Pelodiscus sinensis: one gene and its partners. The protein of the gene in region 3 interacts with the protein of the main gene of each other region in a biochemical or structural test. Links are inferred from orthologs where the notes say so. Each region holds a gene or a part of one and is shown on either strand. Other genes may lie near its edges.

Region 1 (6,987 bases), on a different chromosome or scaffold from region 3:
TTTTCCATGTTCAGTGCAACTACTAAGGAAAGAAGAAGTTGCAGTCATTTAATAACAATTTTCTGTCAGTGTTCTATTAACCTTTCAAAACAATTTAAGATACAAATTGAATGATCATTAATTTTGGCTAATCTATCATATTTATTGGAATATTAATGTAGTGGCATGTAGTATGTTAGGTGACAGAATAAAAAGAAATCAAGTAAGGTAAGTCAAGCACTTTAAGGCTTACTATTTGCTTTTCACATCCAGTTAAACCAGGTGTGACTAGTAATATGAGCCTTAACAGAAGTTGGCTTTCTGAAGTGCTCTTTGTAGATATAACAGAAAACAAAATGAGCAGGTGTTAAAGCAATGAAAAGGTAAACAATAAGTCATTCTATAAGATGGTTAGCTGCTAAACATAGAAAGAAACCATTATAAATGGGCAGTGTGCACCTATGGAAACATTTGCAGAACTCAGAGAAATACTTAAATGTGTGTGTCCTCTTTAAAAACAACCAAAAAATGACCTTTTGAATTCTCATTGTTGGATTTGTTTGTCTATTATTTTGTAAAGGATTTCCTAGAGGTTGGCAGGAAAAAGAGAAGTTTGACTAATTGAGGGGGAATTATCTTACAGGTTTTTGCTTTACCTGATGTCACTTTATTAAGAAAACACAATATTACAATAATTTATATGTAGCATAGAATGCTTCTGTGTGCTTTTATTATTCATTTTAGGAAATGACTTGTGGATGGATTAGATTGTTTTATTTTGTATATTTTCATCTTGCATTGTAAATCTGTTAGTGTTGCTCTAACACTGCAATGGAAAATATTGGTAAATCAAGAGAGATGAATGTACAGGTGTATGAAGGGAAACGAACAGGAAGTTAAAGCAAAAGAGTGAATACGGAAGCAAAATGCAGGACAATGTGAATACGGACTGGACATTTAAGATCTATTTGGCAAACTTGTGTGACTAAAATTAATCATCCTAAAACCCTAAAAGAAGGCTTGTGGCATAAGGGTCTGTGTAAAATCTTCCAAGTTTCCAAATTATGAACTGAGTCTAAGGCTAGCTTTCATATATGAAGGTACGCATTGCTTTATATTTTGAAAAAATGCTTCTGTGTGTTAAACATGCACTCTTAGCTGATTTCACAGGGTACATAATCCTGGTTATCTGTGTACCTGCTGGGAGGAAGTGAGTCCTAACACAAATATTATTCCATAATGATAATTCATTATAAATGTTGGAATAAACAAAGAAGTTGACACTTTGTACTTCAGTTTGCAAATCAGCACCATTTTTATGTTGTCATTGAAGCATGTGAGGGTAAATGTTTTCAGTAAGTATTGTAATTAAGTTGATAGGTTAAAGCATTCTTTTTGCTTAAAATACAGGCATAATAGTGTGAAATAGATTTAGGATAAGAGCTATACCATGCAACTAAACTGTTTCTTGAACATAGATTAAAATTGTGTAACTCAAGCTTAAATCAAAATTTAATATACTGGTTAATATTTTGGGAAAGTCTGAATTAGTTTCGGTAAAATTGAAACTTGTTCATGTGGCATTGAATGTATTTGTATTCTCTATTAACATTAAAAATGTTTGAGTGAATAATTTAATTTCTAATCTGCTATTCACGTAGAATATTGCCTCCTTTCAGGTATTTTGTGTGTACCTCTCTGTGTGCATATATACATATGCATTCCCTCAATTATAACAGGTTGTTCTGTAGCAGTTATGAGGACAGAGAGATTTCTGCACTAGCTTTGTTTCGACTTTTTCATTTATAAACTCACTATTTAAGTGGAAGAGTTACAGAATACAAATGATTTTAATTATGTGGAGCTTTCCTGAAACTGTCATTTCCCTGGCTTAATTTCAGTACACATCAGTCTCTGGAGATGCTGAAAGCAGTATTTGCAGATTTAGACACAGAATCTTGAGTCACATACTTAAATTTATCTCTGTAGAATATGCTGAAAATGTATTCCATGTAAATAAACTGTATACCCTTTTAAATAGAGACAAGCTATCCACTGTCAGTTGTTTCTAAAGTTTTTCCTATTACTCATTGCTACATGTATGATTTTTCACATAAATGCCTGCAGCCAGTACATAAAACTGCTAGTAACTATTGTCATTAAAGCTGAGTTGCAAGTTAAACAGCATATTTGTTCTGCAGAATAATATAGCTCTCACTTCTTTTCTACTTATTGTATCCCTAACTTCAACATGAGCTTTTGATTGGACCACTTCATTCTCAAATTTAGCTTGGGAAATACATAGTTTGACAATTTTGTGAAATTAGAGATTTACAGAAGTAGAAAAAGAAGCATTAGTAAAAAATACATAAACATTTTATGTCAGACCCTGTATTTTACAATAGAAATCAGTCTTACCTTCATTAGCCGCTGAGTGTTGTTTTCCATGCTGTTTTCAAGTAGTTGGAGTCTTTGTACAGAATCATCATAATCTAGTGGTGCATCTCTCTGCACTGCATTAGATACATAGGAGCTGGAAGAAGAGCGGCAGTTGTCCATCTCAGGCAATAGAAAGGTATAACTGCACGACCCATGCTGAACCTGGTACTGCTTCTTGCCTATAGTCTCCATGCTTTTACGAAAAGAGCTGTACCCTGAAGCTGAAACAAGATTACAGCTCAAAATAAAGTAAACAGCCAGCCACATTTTAATTGCTACGATAACTCTGCAAATCTTAAGTACTGTATTTTCAGTATTCTTAACAAGAGTTCAGAATATCTAGTTATCTGCTCTGAAATTCAGTGCTTTACTGCCATGTAAAGTACTCTGAATGAGGGCATTTTTTACTTTTCTAGTTGCAAAGTTGGTAAAAAAGTGCTGTCTTCTCTCCAGCTGTGCCCTCACTGTCAGAAACAGTCCTGTCTCAGCTGCAAGTTCTATGTTGGTTTTTAAAATAAGCTTTAATGTTTTCTTCTGCTTGTCTTTTGGCAAGATTTTACAGCTTTGGTATCTGAATCAATCACTTTCCTTTCCTTATATGATAAGTTGATAAGAGTAGCCAGACATGTGTAGCTAAACTGCTCCTCCCTCCTGGCTTATCCGTTATCTTCCTGTAGAGGGGGTCGCTTGCAAGGCAGAACAAAGATCAGAGCACACTTCTGAATGCTGCATGGTATGCGGCACTAAATCTGTTCAAAACCTGATCACTTATAGGACCCCTATGAATTTCTTTAGCACAACTCTAATTAAGAATTTCCTAGACAGAGAAATCAGTTCTGCAAGCCTCCACCTATGCTTCCAGTACAACCTTGTAAATTATTTGTTGTAATCATTTTAAAGTATGCCCACAAAAGGTCCTTTGTTTGTTCCTCTTAAAGAAAAATTCTTTTGAAATGTGTCTGACCAGCATAGCTTGGCCTATGTTTAATAGTTTGTATAAATGAAGAGGAGGATACTTCTAATCAGACAAAAGCAGGCTTCAGTCTACCCTTTCAGAAAGAAATAATGCTCTTTTTTAAGTATTGAACCTTCAACTGTGAACAGATTATGTGTAAATATATTCTACTGCAATTAAAGTAGACTTTTATGTAAATCATGTAAATATGAACAACAAAACTTGAAAGCAGTTTTTAAATGTTAGTCATTTATATTAACTGGCTAATTTAAATTATATTCGTTTTTTAAATATTAAATCAAAAGTCAGCTAGGAAAAAGGGAATAACTTTTCAGAGTAGTTGTAGGAATTCCTCAGTACATGACATGAGGGGAGAGGTATCATACTGGTCCAATATCATGTCTCTAGTAGAGGTCAATAGAAATGATGGAAGGTGAAGAAAAATGTCATGAAGCCATATTTATAATAATCAGTTAAAAAAGATCAGGAAGGAGTTGGATTCCAATAATATCTTGGAAAAATACATCTCTGCTCTAGAAAATATGCTATGGAAACCATAATGCTGGGGGGACTGAATCTTGAAGAGAAATTCCCTGCATCTGGACACAGAAACTGGACTTCTCTACTTAAATATTATTTTTTATTTTTAAGTAAACGTGGTGCTAAAGAAGGTTCCAAAATAATATGCCTCAGGGATCAAAGGCCCCTATTTATACATCTGACAAGCACAGTTAGTTATACCATAAGAAGCATCCTTACAGATTTCCCTATATATCTTTCTATTAACATGGTTTTACTTTCCATGATATGGAAACTACATAAAGATTGTGAAAGCCAGTTATAGGAATTAGAACCTCTACTTTGTTGATCATTGGATGGTTGGGATTTCTTACTCCACTTATATTTTAGTGATTGCCCTATCTGGAGATCATCCAAAGTGTTTACTTCTGGAGAACCCCAACGTGGACAAAATGTGCTTAACTTAAGTTTCTGCTCTGAGAGAGAAAACAAATATGTCAAATTTGTTTCCTGGGAAGTATTTTTTTTCCATTGACTATGCTTTGAATTCCAGTATATTTATTTATCTGAATTTGTCTGAAGACATGATGATGAGGGATATTTGCAGTAAAATATAACTATCAGTGAAACATTTGTTTTTGCTAAATAGGGAGAATTCATAGATTATATGTACAACTCGATATTGTTACCAAAATTAATGAATGTGACAGATGCGCTAAAAGCTTGTCAATACAGCCACAAAACTTCTTTGAATAGAAGTTTCTCTTTTTCAAAAATATTCTACTGTTTGTATAACAGTTTCTCTCAATTAATGAGATTACTTGTGGCAAGGTGTCTGAACAATCATGTTTGTTCTTAGCTTTTTAAAAAAAATCTTAAATCTGATTTTGTCTGGCTAGACATTATTAGGCTATTAGCATTATTAAAGTGTGATTAAGTTAGATTCAGATTTTGTTTTACATTTTTGAGGGATTTTTACTTGACATTTTTTTCTTAGATGTTGTCAGATTGGCTTTTCCCCCGAAAGTATGTCCCAAAGCATTTAAGGCCCTTGATAAGTTAGTTTGAAAATACTGAGGAGGAAAATACTTCTCATGAGGTTCTTCTTTTCTGTAACTTCCTCCAATGCTGAAAGTTTCCATTTTCTTAATGAGGAATACTTGGAAGATTCATCTTACTTTTCTTTGACTTTTTGGTGTGACCTTAGTGTATTTTCATACTTCAATTTGACAGTGAAGTGGAGGGCAACATTTACCGGTATGATCTCCTAAAGGATTTCTTTTTGGTTGGTTGAGTTGCACTGGCGCCTTTATGTAAAGAAGACAGGGACTTTGAGAAGATGTCAAACAGAGAAGAACCAAGAACCCTTTCCTGGGGGAAAAGGGTAGCTCTTGATTTGAAAAAAATCTTACATGAGATAGCATTTCTGATTTACTAAGGATCATGCATTCATCCTTCTGCATACTGGTTGACTAAATCACTCAGAACATTGTTATACTTAAATTCATCTGGGTTTTTGAGAAGGGATCAAAGGGATTGGATGTGATCCAGCAACCCCTAATGACCAATGGGCAAGAAGGTTAGAAGAATGTCATGTGAAGTCTTAACTGAAAGCCAGCATCATATTGGTCATTAATGTTATGAAATGTATGTACAGATACTATGTTGGAGCCATGGATATATATTGAAAATACATTTTAAATTCTGTATTATGGCAAAAGTGAGAGCTTTTGTCAGACAAAAAATGTTTATTCACCTCTTTCTCATAAATTATATAAACAAACCATCAAAAAGTCAGCAGAGATGTGTAAAGTCAACAGGAAAAACAAGCAATGGGGTTATATTATGTCTCAGTAAAAACTGAGCTTTTGGGATGTAAGTATAAAGCAAAGAGGGCACCCCACTGATCCTGAATGTAGAAAGTAAATAGGCAGTGCATTTACATTCATGAAAATAGGATCACAACAAGCCTTGGTGGAAGATGCTATAAAAGGCTTTGGTGAGATGAACTTCTTTAGAAATTAGCCTGTTAAGTTTAGTCTTTAGAAAATGTACTACAAGTTTGTTTTATATGGTAATCTTTATTTTTCTGTTATCCTTAGTGATAGTCTCTTCTGTCATGAACCTCCTTGATTTCACCTTAAATATCTCTGAGCTGTGATATTAGGAAAGGTGCTGCTGGTGCTGACTTGAAGGATTTAAGTCGGTGTGCACACTGATCCCTTGGGGACAGCAGACCTGGTATTTCTGAGTGTTCAGCAGATACAACAAGGGAATGATTCAAACTGAGCTCAGGGCCTGGTATTACACTTTTTTTTTAAACTTTCAAGGTTAAGTAAAGGGTGCCACAGCCAAGCTGAGAGTGATTCAGTGGCTAATAAGCTGGGGATGTTAGGGCACTGACAGTTAAACACTCAGGAACTTCTCTCTTACTGAAGTCAAGGGAGTAACCAGATGCATCAGTCATGGGTGCCCTGAGAAACTCACACTTGAGCCCTGGCTCTTGAGGGTTGCACTTGCTTCTGTGTTGCGAACGATAGGAATAACTATGAGAACCTGTTTGAGGATAGATAGGCTAAGAGTAAGATTGCAGTGGAGGACTGTGGTGAGGCAGAATGGATGCCCACTGATCCAGAGAGGGAGGCGTCCCTCCCAGAGCCCTGGTGGGAGGATCCTGGCTAATAATGCTTGATAAAGCTTGAACCTCCACAGGAAAGAAATTTGGTGGTTTGAATGTTGGGAAGATTAACCAATTTAGCATTTCGGTTGAATGAGTGGCACCTAGTTGCTGCACTGGCATTCATGAGTTCAGCAAGATTGATGTGGTGAGTACACACATCTGTCCCCAGGGATGCTGGCTGGAACCCACGTGAAAGTAGTGAGCTAGTCTACAACAATCTCTTTAGAGATCTGTGGGTAGATGCACTGCTAACTAATATTTTGTTTGTGGAGAATTAGTCTAGAGCTCCTGCACAGTGAGACTTCCCTTTACTGTCCAATACGTGTGTCTGGTGATGAAGTGAGTTGGAGATTCCCCTCAGGTATATCAGTAAGGACTTTTGGCGTCTCAACATCTGGGCCAGGCAGACTTACTC
Region 2 (7,762 bases), on a different chromosome or scaffold from region 3:
GATAGATAGATAGATAGATAGATAGATAGATAGATAGATAGATAGATAGATAGATAGATGATTTATATTACCATGTGGAGGACCTGTGCACAGAATGATTGTAATGGAATGATTTGGGTCATAGCAATAAAACAACTAATATTTCTAATTTCCAATCTTCACAGCAGGTGCATTAGAAAGTGAACAAACAGTATATTAAATACATCTTACATTACAAATTCAGGAAAAAATAATTTGAGGGGATAGAAATTGGGGGTGGAGGTTAAATATTTTCCTTGTTTTGAAAGGGAGATGGCTATTGCTGATATGGGCTGCAATGACAGCAGCAAATTCAGTATTCAGGGTCGTAATAATGTAACCAGGTCAGATTCATTTGCCTCCACACTGAGAAACTGAACCTTTTATTCTAGTGAAAAACGGACTCATGCAGATAAGTTCTCACTGCTGCATGCCAGTTTCATGTAACCCGTGGGAAGGTTTCACCTGCAGGCAAGTTTTGATCATTGACAAAGTGCACAGACCTCAGAGGTAACATTTACACTGACTAGCTACCTGTTTATCCATCTTCTCCCCCTAAAATGTGAATACTAGCTCTAATTCAGACTCAGAACTCGAGAGACTCATTTTTCTTCTTGTCCAATTCCCAAGTGAAACAGTGATCTTAGTTCAGTCCCTAGTGGACAAATGCAGAAATAAGTAACAATCTCATAAGCATGATTCAGCAGGCAGTTGTTCAAGTAAAACCATGAGCGCAGGAACACAGATAACATTTTTACTTTCCATAGAGTTTGCTTTGAAAAGTACAGTGATAACTGAATAAGAAATGTTACACCCTCCAAAGAGACAAGCCTCCAGTTCTAATCTTTTGTCTTTCTAAAGTACTTCATACAGTTTAAATAAGGACTGAAATAAAAAGTGAAAGCTACAGGACTGAGCTTATCTCACTATGTATGTTTTCTTTTACACATGTGTTTACTGCACTTAATCATCCTCATACCATTAGCAGCAAACATAGAGTAACTGCAGATAAATTGACAAGGAAATAAGGACACTAACGACAGAACTGTAAAACAAAAGGTGTTAAATCTTTTCTGTAGTAGCTAACAGGGATGGGAATTGTAAATGATACAGCTGTCAACAATTACATTAAAATGGACTTTTATTGTTTATCCAATATTTGTTCTAAATGTCAACTCTTATTACATCTGAAACATGTAACTTGTGGAATACAAAAGACAGAAAAATTTGTTATTGCAGTCTTAGCTTATTAAACATTTCACCAATTGTTTGAGTGGTTTTAGTGTTACTGGCTAAGTAACACTAAAGAAGTTACAGGGACAGCAGTAATATCTGTGAGTCCACTGATACAGATAAAAATATATGTTTCTGATAGAAATGATCAGCTGTGCAGGATCGTAACTCACTGCCAATTCTCATTACCAAGACAGTGGCTTACTTCCACTTGTAGCTTTACTCACATGAGCAGTCCCACTGAAGACAATGGGATTACTCAGATAAGTAAAGGTATTCACCTGCATAAGTCTTGGCAGGATCAAAGCTCCAAATTACATTTTAAATACAAGAAGTTAATCTGAAAGTTTACACTTTTAGCACAAATTATTTAAAAAGAATTTATTTTTATATTCCCCCAAAATCTCCTGAAATTCCTGCAATACTATCTACTTTATGTAGACATGTCAATGAAAATCATGCTGTTTCATGTTTAATATAATCTATACATTTTTAAAAAAGTCATACTGTGATTTCTAAAAACATGTATATTTCTGCATTTTATGAATTAACTGACTATGGCTGTACAACTGACTCTGTTTTGGGGAGATTAATGGAATTCTCATTACATGGCTTTCAAATTATTAATCACATTAAGGCAGTCATGTCACTATTTTGTTAAAAATGCATAGTTGCTGTGTATACCAGGTATCCTTCTTGACATCTGATCTGTCGTCCAGAACTATAAATAGATGTTATAAGAATACTTAATGAAAAGCGTGCCATCATTAGAAGTCTCTGAAGGATTATTATACACTCTGGCTCTCAAAATATGGTCCCCTAAGATCAAGCTTTAAAAAAGACATCTTCCAGCAATGTTAAGAAAGTTTTGCTCCCCAAAACAAAGTAAGCCCAGGAGGAAGTGGTGAGCACTAGCTGTAATATTTCTCACATGGAAATAGACAAATCCACATTATCTCAGGTCTCAAAGAAGCACATGCAAACTGTGAACAGCACAGGAAAACATGATAAATAATCAGTTAAAGCAGAATTTGAAAGCGCAATACTTACTTTTTGCAGCCACTGTGTGTAATTTTCCATCACATGTTCCAGATGTTGCAGTTTCTGAGAAGAGAAATCCTGTTCCACGTGAGGAGCATCTCTCTGAAGAGCATTTGTGTTGTATTGGTCTGTCGTGCTTTCACGACAGTTCCCGTCTTGTTCTGGAAGAATGAAAGTATAGGTGCACTGCCCATGCTGAATCCGGCTGTATCTTCTCCCAGTGGTTTCTGGACCCCGGCGCTGATTACTGCACCCTATGTGAGCCAGAAGAGCAGCCAGGAAAGCAAAAGAAAGGAAAATTGTCATGTTATTACTACTTTTCTTTCCTGCTCTTATAGAAACTTTTACCTCCTCTGTCTTTTAATGTGTCTTTATTTTATAGAAAAAAATCTTTGGAAAGAGGATTGGAGAAGAGTATTTAAATCTCAGCTTGGGCTAAAATGGTTTTTATTTCACAGTAATTATAGCTTCCTTAGTTAAATTTAGAAATATTTATTGCATAGTAGCTAAGATTTATGGTTTCCTCTCTGTTACAGTCCAGCATGTAGCCTTCCTTAGTTAGCTGCATATGCATATCCCAGTCTCTCTCCCCTACACTATCTGCTGCAGGACTGCTATTTTCTCTCAGACCTCAGAGAGTTTTATTAAGGTTGCACTTTCAAGCCAAGCTGGAAGCAGGCTGCCTTTCACAAGATGACTTGATAGGAATGTGTGTATGAGTGCGCCCCTATGCTAAGGATGGCTGATGGCTCAGTACAGAGGGATCATCTTACAAACTGGCTCGATGCATTACTTCAGTCTTGACTAGTTGTTCTGTTCCTGTTGCACAGAACTGCTCCGGACAAATTCACATATGTTTATTAAATGGGGCAGTCCACCTTAATATACTTCCTATGTTCACACTGACTTATTAATATGTAGATAAAGTGTAGAAATTTGTTGTAATCCCTTATAAGTAAATATGCAGAGTCCTGAAAATAAAAAATGTTCAGTATTAGCTATTTGATTGTCTTTTGAATGCTAAGACAGAAAACTGACACTTATGGAAAATATTAACATTTCCCATGCTTCTTTTTTTTTACAATGACATTTTGAGCAGTGTTTACAGAGATTCTCTGCACAAGGCATGATGAAATCAAAACTGCCAAATAATATTTAGAAAGAGCTATGCAGAAGAGTGGCATTTCTATATGTTCAGTTAAAAGAATAATATGTCTAATTTGAAAAAATCATAGTCAGATGTGCTAGACAGAATATACCCTATTTGCTATTGTGTGTGTTCATGTAAAATGTTTCTATGAATCTGAAAGTTTGCATTAATTAAATTAGCATTCCTCATTATATGTTTTATTATTTTGTATATTATTATGCATATGTAATAGTCCTTTCTTGAGTGCAGAGGACTGGAGTAGATGACTTATTGAGGTCCTTTCCAGGTCTTCACTACTGTGATCTAGGCAGTATTTCCTAATAATAACCTCCTTCAAAAAAGCACTCAGGGACCTATTTAGAATAATATTTTAAGCATTAATAATGTCTTTGAAGATGGGTCCAGGAAACAAAATTTTGAAACAATCTAAAAGTTCCTAAATTTCATGTGAGTTTGAATCCAGATTCCCATTACATCTCTAGTACATTGCATATAAATCAGAGTTAACTCCTCTGGAACCCACTTTACAGCAAACTGATGTAAGGAGGTCTTTAACATCAATATTGTTATTGGTAGCAACAAGACAGCAAAAAAACTATTTGCATCAGTAAAGGCTGCCTAGATTCCACCTTTGGTGCTTGTGTGGGTATCATAAGCATTTCTATAGAAATTCCACTTTGATTCAACAAAGTTGCAGGGGTTGTGAACCAGAATTCTTTGCTGTTCCTGAAGAAGCTACTGCCAGTCAGAGTTAAAGACTTAGTCTTTTTTGTTCAGTTCAGCCTGACCTTTCATCATTAGCCTGAAAAGGAGCCAATGTATTTAAACTACAAGGAAATCTATTTTCTTCTGAGAAAGAGAACACAAGGAAACTTTCAGAGCAAGGTAACATGTTCTTGATCTGAGAGAGAGAGAGAGAGAGATGAAATGGGACTAAGAAAAGAAAAGAATAATTCACTTTGGAAGAATAAAAACTTCCCTCCGTTCTTAGAACTAGTCAGCCCTTACTTCACCTTTCTTATTTTCTTTTCCTTGCTTCTATACCTATTTTTAAAATTAACTTAATAGAACCCATTATACTACAAGCACTTTTCATACTGTTCCAATATTCTCAGACTTACTTCTCTGAACTGGCTCCGACAGGGGAAGCACAAGCAACCTCCCTTCTCTAAACTGCACCAGTGCCTGCAATGAACTTGCTCCTGAGATTGTCAATTCCCTTGGCAGGGACCTGGCACAGAGGAAATGAACCAGAAAGTTCAGGATCTGCTCATAGCCCTTATGAATACAACTGTGGCCACATATGCACACATATAATACAAATATACATTTACTATATTTTTTTTCTAGATATGATGCCTTGCATAAGGCCATACAAGAAAAGACTAACATTTTCTAAAGTTCACTATTCCTATCTCTTTATACTGCTATCATTCTCTGAGAAGTTCAAAGGACCACTACTATCTTCAAGTTCTCCTCCTCATTACAAGAGTATATTCATCCAATCATCAAATAATAATATCTTGTGACTTATGTGACCAACTCCAATTAACCAACATGGCTCAAATTTTGAATATCAAGGATTTAATTCTGTCAGTCAACTGTTTGTGATTTTATTCCTGAAAGGAAAAGGCAGTTCCCTTCCCACCCACAAAAAAACCACGTATTGAGTAATAGTGACTAATAAATACATTTGAAGGAATTCTCCATCTTCCAGCTGAGATTCCATGATGAAAAAAAGGAACTTAATTGAGTAAGTAATTTATTCACAATCACTTACTCAGTTCTGGGTAAGTACAAATGATCCCTGTTTTACAGATTCAGAGGCAGATAAAGACTAAGGGTATGTCTACACTACCACCCTAGTTCGAACTAGCGGGGTAATGTAGGCATACCGCACTTGCAAATGAAGCCCAGGATTTGAATTTCCCGGGCTTCATTTGCATAAGCCGGCTGGCGCCATTTTTAAATGCCGGCTTGTTCGGCTTGGAACGAGGCGTACAGATAGTTCGGAATGGCTTGCTAGTTCGAACTATCTAGCCCGTGCGGCGTGTAGCCGCGTGGCACGGGGTTCGAACAAGCCGGCATTTAATAATGGCGCCGGCCGGCTTATGCAAATGAAGCCCGGGAAATTCAAATCCCGGGCTTCATTTGCAAGCGCGGTATGCCTACATTACCCCGCTAGTTCGAACTAGCGGGGTAGTGTAGACATACCCAAAGTGACTTGTCCTAATTTACAAGGAAGTCACTGGCAGAGCACTGACAGAACAGAACCCAGGTGTGAATTTACTTTCCACATTCAAATGCATTCCCAAGAGCACTTCCTCAATGACTGTGTCCTTCACCCCCTTGTACTTTCGCTATAACAAAATCCTGGGACAGTGTAGAGATGGCCCAAGAAGTCTTCAGCCTGCTTTTTTTATTTAGTTGTAACTTGAAATTCAGCAGTTGACCATGTAATCCAACCTAATACACAAAATGGATGAGGATTTTGTCCAGATCAAAGTTACACTCACATAACCTTAGTTCCCATTTATCTTGAAGAATACACACATATGTAATTGGATGTTTTTTGTCGTAGAATATTTATTCACAGACTTTAAATATACTTAATGAACAAAATCAATGAAGTTTCTTTACATATCTATTGCAATGTGTGTTGTTGCTGCAATTAACCTAGATTAAGTTACAACACATCATACAATATAACTGGATTGCTCCTGCATAACTTTCTCTACATCATCGCAACAGAAAATGTATAGAAAGTATCTGTCAGGACCTAGATAGCAAGTCCAGGATTTTTTACCTCCAGCAGAATCAATGGAATTTTACACTGTTCTATTGATACCTTACTTTCTCAACAGAGCACTTAATCTCAATTAAAATATATACCAGGAATTTCAGGATAGAGTTACTGAAATGAGGTCTGGATTTTGATTTCATTGACACCGGCTTTGTATGTGTGTTACTCCACTGACTTCAGTGTTCCCGATATACACCCATAATATATGAGGTAGAATTGCAGACACTTTTTCCAGTATCTGATTATCAAGGACACAAATTCAGTTAGCCAATGGAGAAGAATTATTTACCATTTTAAACACTTTCTCCTATTGCTTGAATGTTTTGGTTGTTAATCTCCTGGGGGTAAGTTGTTGGTGGTTTCAACTAAATGAGTCTTCAGGAGTGAAGTGTATATATTTACATTTGTATATTCAAGCCATGAATCTTATGCAGTATACTCCACCAGGTCATTCTGTCAAAGGAACACTCTAATGTACAGAGTCATTCTATTTCCCTCTGCAGCTTTTACAGCATCTGATCTCACACTTGGGAGCAACCAAGCAGCAGGGAAGATTGACATAGTGGTAAAAAAGCAGCAGGTCTTTAAAAGGACGCAATGGTCTGCTGCAGAAACAACCGAGCTACCGGTTATTCTCGTTTGGTCTGGTGAAAACATTTTCTGTAGACCAATTGGATTCTGTTTCTCAAACACAAATGATGAGGCTTGTTGGGGCTCTCTATGGCTTTATTACGTTATCGGACAGATCCCAAATGAGCAGTGGTTAAGAATGTTGTGCCCCTATTTCCTGAAAACTTCATTTCATGCTGTGGAATGCATGAAAAAAAATGAGTAAATCTTACCTTCCTCACAACTCATACTTTTTACCCATGGTCAGAGAAAGTCAATTAGACAAATTCAGTTCACTTGATTCTTATTCATTACACAGGAAAAACTACCAAAATAAACCCTTAACTTCTTGTTTAATAGAGGCTTTTAAACCAACATTTATGCCCATTGGACTCACAATTCTTTCCATGCACAAGGCCTTTTATTGCATGCAACTGCCATTCCCATCAACAAGAATTGTGGGTGTTTATCTGGGTCATGAACTGTTTGTAAACAACTGGAACAGATTTCCTGGTTCTTAATGACTACCTACAGGAAAAATAGTGGTGATCCCACTTTTCTGCAATTCTTTTTTGGGTGCCTATAACAAAAACAACCTGATGTTGGTGTTATTAATGATGGATGTTACATAGGGATACATATACAGGGCTGAACTTCTGGTGCCCAGAAAATGATTAGTGGGTACAAATCTCATTGCCTGTGCTTCCAACAATCCAATTTGTGCTCACAGTCAGGAAGCAAGAAATGCAAGTATTGATTTGCATCTGCAACTGAACTATGTGTGCAATACACAAACATAAAAGTTGCTGGAGTAAATTGTAGCCTTTTTAGTGCTGACCAACAGCACAGTAACTGCTGAATAATTTACTTATTCCAGAAACTACTCCCAGGACTTGTTCCCCACTGGT
Region 3 (6,935 bases):
TGCTTAATTAACCCCAGCTGCAAGCTGCCTCCTAATTAGGACTCTATTTTCTACTCTGGCTGCTAGGCTGTGTTCAGGTGAGGCTAATTTGGAAACAAAAAAGCATTAACCCACCTCCCTATATGGCTGCCTTCTCTAAGAGTTTTGCAGTTTGCAGGCTGTGGTCTGTCACAATTAGGCAAATCAAAAGTGCAAATGAAGCAGGGATTTAAATATCCTGCACTTTATTTGCATAATAACGTCACAGCATTTTTTCGAAAAAGGTATTTCGAAAGTGAAACCGCAGTCTAGATGCGGTTCTTTCGAAAAAAAACCCTCTTTTTCGAAAGATCCTGTACACCTTAAAAAATGAGGGGTATGGGAACTTTCGAAAAAGGGTTTTTTTAAAGAACTGCGTCAAGACTGAGGTTTCACTTTTGAAATACCCTTTTTCGAAAGAACACTGTGACGCTATTATGCAAATGAAGTGCAGGATATTTAAATCCCTGCTTCATTTGCACTTTTGATCTGCCTAGTTTACGTCCCTCTTTCGACAGAGGGATGTAGTTTAGACATACCCCCTGTGACATACACAAACTGTTTATGTTTCTAGGCATCTGGGAACCTTGTTGAAACCCCATACCGGGAAATATTCCTACTCCCATTCAAGTCAGCAAGAATTTTCCTATTGTCTTCAAATTGAAGCAGAATCAGTCCCATAACCCACTTTCCATTAGCGACTAAGATCTGATTTCTGTGTTTTGCTGAAGTGTCATTCTGGGTGTAAAACATCTCGGTAAGACTACACTGTTTTCTAATACTTGGGTTTATTTTTTGTCAAGTAGTTATAAGTAGGAAATCCCCTCTATTTACAGTTGTATTGATTTGTCTGAGTGTTGCCTCTCCACTTGATAACTTTTACTAATTCATGTGGTTTTACTCTCTATGATTTTATCTTGTTTATTCTTTGTTCCCCGGCATTTAGGTTCCACTGAAGTCAAAACAAATTGTATTGTGATTTATACACATCAAATTTCAGAGTCTGTTTTCAGTCTTGGAATGAAAAAAAATTGAGTAAAATAGATTAAGTAATGTGGTTTGCTGGAGAGCTCTTGGCTTTGCTGTACTGCATTTGACATGTTTTGTTAGGGTTCTCTTTCATGTTTATGTTGTAGATGCCTTGCAATAAGCACCTTCTGCATGGATTAAATAAATAAACAACAAGACAATTGTATCTTGTGATTGGGCATCTGCCTTGCAATGGCCCTGACTGACCAGATGGATGGGCCAGTAAAGGATCATGGACATGTCAAGAGAGAGCTCCCCTGCTCAATGTGTGGGTGAAGGATGAAAAATGAGAAGACCCATGAAAAGATGCAGGGGAATCCAGAGACACAAGAGATTGTGGCCAAGTCCCTGGATAACAAGGAAATGGGGCTAAGGGATCATCTCTGAAAAATCATGGAAGACAGGAGAGATTCCAGAAGACTGGAAAGGGGAAAATCTAGTGCCCATCTATAAAAAGGGAAATAAGAACAACCCAGGAAACTACAGACCAGTCAGTTTAACTTCTGTGCCAGGAAAGATAATGGAGCAAGTAATTAAGGAATTAATCTGCAAACACCTGGAAGATAATACGGTGATAGGTAACAGCCAGCATGGATTTGTAAAGAACAAATCATGTCAAACCAATCTGATATCTTTCTTTGATAGGATAAGAGTCTTGTGGATAAGGGAGAAGCAGTGGACGTGGTATACCTAGACTTTAGTAGGGCATTTGATGGGGTCTCGCATGATATTCTTATCAATAAACTAGGCAAATACAACTTAGATGGGGCTACTGTAAGGTGGGTGCACAACTGGCTGTATAACCATTCTCAGAGAGTAGTTATTTACGGTTCACAACCCTGCTTGAAGGGCATAACAAGTGGGGTTCTGCAGGGGCCAGTTTTGGGACCAGTTCTGTTCAATATCTTCATCAACGATTTAGATATTGGCATAGAGAATACGCTTATTAAGTTTGCAGATGATACGAAGCTGAGAGGGGTTGCAACTGCTTTGGAGGATAAGGTCGTAATTCAAAATGATCTGGAAAAACTGGAGAAATGGTCTGAGGTAAATAGGATGAAGTTTAATAAGGACAAATGCAAAGTGCTTTACTTAGAAAGGAACAATCAGTCTCACTCATACAGAATAGGATGCGACTGTCTTGGAAGGAGTACTGTAGAAAAGGATCTAGGGGTCATAGTGGACCAGAAGCTAAATATGAGTCAACAGTGTGACGCTGTTCCAAAAAATGCAAACATGATTCTGGGATGCATTAATAGGAGTGTTGTGAGCTCTACTCTGCGCTGAGTAGGCCTTAATTGGCGTATTGTCCAGTTCTGGGCACCACATTTCAAGAAAGATGTGGAGAAATTGGAGAAGATCCCGAGAAGAGCAACAAGAATGATTAAAGGTCTAGAGAACATGACCTATGAAGGAAGACTGAAAGAATTGGGCTTGTTTAGTTTGGAAAGGAGAAGACTGAGAGGAGACATGATAGCGGTGTTCAGGAATGTAAAAGGGTGTCACAAGGAGGGGGTAGAAAAATTGTTTTTCTTGGCCTCTGAGGATAGAACAAGAAGCAATGGGCTTAAACTGCAGCAAGGTTGGTTTATGTTGGACATTAGGAAAAACTTTCTAACTGTCAGCGTGGTTAAATACTGGAATAAGTTGACTAGGGAGGTTGTAGAATCTCCATCTCTGGAGATACTTAAGAGCGGTTTAGATAGACATCTATCCGGGATGGTCTGGTGCTGGGTCCTCCCATGAGGGCAAGGGTCTGGATTCGATGACCTCTTGAAGTCCCTTCTAGTGCTAGTGTTCTATAATTCTATGATCTCCAGGAACAGGTGCAAGAGCTTCACGGGAAACTAGCAACCATGGAGGAGGCCCTGCACCTACCAGAGAGGAGCTTGGAGTGCAAGAGAACTCACATCAAATGTGACCAAGAGGTGAGAGAGAACATCTGTTTCCTCTTGAAAGTAGTAGAGAAAAAGAGGAACCAAGAGATGCTGGGTCAGAAACAGTAAAATCCCAGAGGGCTGTAGGCTTAAGGGGGAGTGTGTGTGGTGGGGCATCTGTCCTGCACAGTCCTGTAGGTGTTAAAGCCAACTTAGGGAGACTCAGTAGCCGACAGTCACAACTGAGGCTGCAGATAATTAGGCTAAGTGGTAGGCTACAAATTAGGGCACAGCTAGCTCTGATAAAAGGGAAGCCACAGACCAGGGGTGGGTGTCTGATGCAGAGGACCCGAGGGGAAGGCAGGCTTCCTAGATGGCTGCACAGTTAGCACAAGGCTGCACAGCTAGCCTTGCGATGTCTGGCAGGCTTGAGGCCTGGAGAAGAGAAAATTTGGGGAGGGGCAGTGAAAGGAATCAACTAAAGAGTCCCTGGATTGGGACCCAGCGTAGCAAGTAAGCCTGCCCATCCCCCTTTTCTCTCCCCATCACTCGCCAGTGATGAAAGTGGCCAGGATAGACTGCCGTTTGTCTCTGGAGTCTAAGCTGAGTCCTGCAATGGGCCCCTGAGGCGAGTGACAAGATAGTGGGTTGCTGATCTCCCAGGACTGGAGAGGGACAATAGTACTGGAGCTCAGGCAGAGGGCTGTGCTCCAACGTAGACAATGCAGCTCGGGACCGACACAGATCCAGACAGGGAGCGGACAAGAAGTAGCTGTGGCGAGGCACTGCGTTGGGAGGTCAATAGAGCTAACTCCCAGCATGGCCAGCAGGAGGCGCCATGGTGGTGAGTTGAACCCTGTGACGTATCCTGGAAACTCTTCACTGAAGTGCTGAAGTGTAAGGTGACCTGTGGAGCGATTAGCAGATGTGTAGTTAGAGCAGAGGTGGGGATGACAATTTCCACATGCCATTCATAGATAGAGAGCTTGTTTTCAGTATTCCGCCTATTGGAGGATGCCACTATTGTTCTTGACATTGCTGACCGTGACCTGTTGCTGGTTCTCTCAGAGCAATCCCCTGCCTCTCCAACAACCCCAGATAAGTGCTATGATGTATTGCTAGATGGACAGGATTTGCAGTGCTTCACAGTCCTGTTGATACAAAATGCCTTTAAGATCCTGCCTTTCCCATCCTAATCTACAAAGGAAACAGGAAAAAGGAACTTAAACTCCCTGTACTCAGACAGCAATGAGACTGTTATAGCCCACTCCAGCACTGCAATTTCTTGCTTCTGTAAACAAGAGTTCTCATATCATGCAAGCGAAGAGTAACCAAGGTCTGCTCCATTAAAAGGATACTCCTAACCCCATGAGCTGCTGTGGAAACTGGATGGATATATTTTGGAAAGCATGGACTCTTTAGCACATTTAATTCTCTGTGGATTCAGCCTGATAATTTCAGGTAAGACTTTGTTTTAGTTACTGAGCTAGTGCTGCGATATGCCATGGCTTTACTGTTTTTTGCACAATGAACAGACAAAAAGCCTGATCCTTACTGGTATAATTTTCACATTGACTTCAGTGGGATTATTTGCATAAATAAGGATCTCTCCTGTTGGTGAGGGTAGCACAGTTATGCCCTGATTCTCTGTAAGAGGACGGCTGACTGTGTTTGGGATATGTAGCTAAATCATTTTAAATCTAGCTGCTCTTTGTTTATACTTACAATCACCACGGTGTGGATTTCTCTGCTGAACCAGTTAACTTTTTCTCTGAGCCTGTGATATGGAAATGATCACCATATGTTTTTTGCAAAATCTGTTGTAAATGTTGATTCTTACAGTCCACTTCATAAATATAGAGCTGAAATACTGGTAAAAATCTGATGTGTTCTATCTAGTATTTATTTTTAGCAAGACTCTTACAGCTGCTGAATCTAGACACTAATTACTGGACACTGATGCTTGAATAATATGCATTAAATGCAATGGATTGGCTCATTTCAAACACTATTTAAAAACACATCTGTCTCAACAATGTTATTACCAGACATAATTTGATTGTCTAAATAGTGCTAACTGTATGTATTTCCCATAGCTGGTAAGCATAAACTTCTTATGATTTTACTAATGCAAAGTTTATTTCACAGCAAGAAAAGCCTAGAAGTCAGAGATGCGTTTCTCAAATAAGATATGCTTCCTCTTTCTTCTGAGTATTAGCTTCTTTCCATGCAGTTTTCTCTCAGCATTGAAGCTCACACTGCTAGTGTCTCTCTCTGACCTGTTTCTAGGCAATCTCCTCAATGTAAGATACAAAACATAAACCTAGAGATGGTTTCAAACCAGAACCCCAGATTTTTACTAATCTCTGAAAGTTTAGCTCCAGATCTAATTTTTCTGGCTCCGGGCTATCTCTACATGAAAAGCAATGTGTTTGATAGCTGCAGGCTGTGACAGTGAGAGACAGAAGGAATTAACAAAAGAAAATGTAATTTTTTATTGCTGTATAACTTGTGAAGCCTAAAGATCAGGAGATTGTAGAACAACAATGTTCAAAAGTAAGAAGAATGGCCAACAAAAGGGTTTGGAGTTTTGAGAGTTTTTTAAGTATCTGGAAAGGTATGTGGCAATATGTAGGCCAAAAAGTTTACATAAAATGTGGTGGTGGTGTGCATATTGTTGTATAATTATTGCCGCATTAGATTGCATATTCTATATTCCTCTTGTGCTAGGGGTTGCCTGTTTGATGTAGAGGTATAGCACTGCATCCTATTTAATTCTCAGTTCAATACTGATTTTTCACGTAAGAGGCAGATAGGCTGTGCCCTGAGTGTTATATTCAGAAGATGAAAAATAGGGCTTCATAACTGAATGGGACAATACTACATCCCTCTCTGAGTTAAATCTCCTCTGGGTCTCCCTTCCTTGAAGCCAACTCCTCATGTATACACATGATTGTTACAGGAAGCAAGTAAAATCCATGAAGTCATGTGCATGAGTGAAAAACAAAAGCGATCGGCACAGATTAGCAATAAACATGGACAGTGTGCTCACTTCAGTTTGGTATTGAAGAGTTGCCAGTCACAGCCCTTTCCACAGGGCTTGACCAGTTAGGTGTGTATTGTAGTCACACCCATCTCAATAGATCTGTCAGCTTTCCCGCTTTTGTTCAAGTGTGATATCATGTTTCCTGGGGCGAGCTGTGGAAGACAATGCTAACCCCCTTTCCTCTAGATAGAACAGGCGGAGTTCAGGAAAGCAGTATTGACATTCCCTGAGCAGGGGAGACATTAAAGTCAATGCAATTGGCAGACTATGAACTGACTTAACCTTGTCCCAAATGGTAGTGGGCCTTTGTGTGCGTGCTGCTGGGTAGGCAAAAATCTACTCCACCCTTGTTCCAAGGTGGGGACTATGCATTTAGGCTTGGCTCCTGGCTACATTAAATGCCCTGTAATTTCCTTTCCTTCATCATGACCCTCAGCCAAAAGACTTGATTTCCAAACAAGTTATTAAAGTAAGATATAATGTATGCCTCTCTCCAACAATGCACAATCCAAAGTGTATCTCAATTATACTTGCAAGAGGGACAAGTTTAATGCTAGGGATAGACCTGACAAAACCAATAATGTGAACACACTTTCCTTCTTCAGAGTTTTTCCTTCTACACTTTGGGCACTACGTAGCCCTTAGGGATGTAAGCGACTAGTCGACTCGACTAGTTGTTCTCCACCCCTGCTGCCTCTATGGAGAGAGGCAGCGGGGGGAGGGGGCGCAGGAGCTGGTGCTGGTGCTGGGGGGGAACCAGTAAAGCTGGTTCTCTGCAGGAGGCAGGGGAGGCAGAGGCACAGTGGGAAACGGTGCAAGTGGGGACTGCTTCAGGCCTGCTCGCGCTGGTTCCCACTACAGGCGCTTCTGCTTTTGAAATGTACAAGAGCCCTGCAGGGAGCATGGGGGGAGCAGGGACTCAAGGAGTCCCCACTCATCCCGTGCTCTCTGTGCTGCCCCTCCCC

The links. The genes of interacting proteins can lie anywhere in the genome.
Region 1: the proteins of TEK (region 3) and ANGPT2 form a complex in vitro, tested with the Homo sapiens proteins (7 studies listed by BioGRID and IntAct, with this or other methods). The link is inferred for Pelodiscus sinensis from reciprocal best matches to the Homo sapiens genes TEK and ANGPT2.
Region 2: the proteins of TEK (region 3) and ANGPT1 form a complex in vitro, tested with the Homo sapiens proteins (6 studies listed by BioGRID and IntAct, with this or other methods). The link is inferred for Pelodiscus sinensis from reciprocal best matches to the Homo sapiens genes TEK and ANGPT1.

What each region holds. Positions count from the first base shown.
Region 1 is NC_134713.1:41,345,243-41,352,229, forward strand, and holds the start of ANGPT2 (angiopoietin-2), read right to left. Parts: upstream 3,001-6,987; 5' UTR 2,686-3,000; coding exon 2,398-2,685; intron 1-2,397. UniProt on the Homo sapiens protein: Binds to TEK/TIE2, competing for the ANGPT1 binding site, and modulating ANGPT1 signaling. Can induce tyrosine phosphorylation of TEK/TIE2 in the absence of ANGPT1.
Region 2 is NC_134712.1:30,479,399-30,487,160, reverse strand, and holds the start of ANGPT1 (angiopoietin-1), read right to left. Parts: upstream 3,001-7,762; 5' UTR 2,599-3,000; coding exon 2,302-2,598; intron 1-2,301. UniProt on the Homo sapiens protein: Binds and activates TEK/TIE2 receptor by inducing its dimerization and tyrosine phosphorylation.
Region 3 is NC_134716.1:15,379,747-15,386,681, reverse strand, and holds the start of TEK (angiopoietin-1 receptor), read left to right. Parts: upstream 1-3,848; 5' UTR 3,849-4,333; coding exon 4,334-4,385; intron 4,386-6,935. UniProt on the Homo sapiens protein: Tyrosine-protein kinase that acts as a cell-surface receptor for ANGPT1, ANGPT2 and ANGPT4 and regulates angiogenesis, endothelial cell survival, proliferation, migration, adhesion and cell spreading, reorganization of the actin cytoskeleton, but also maintenance of vascular quiescence.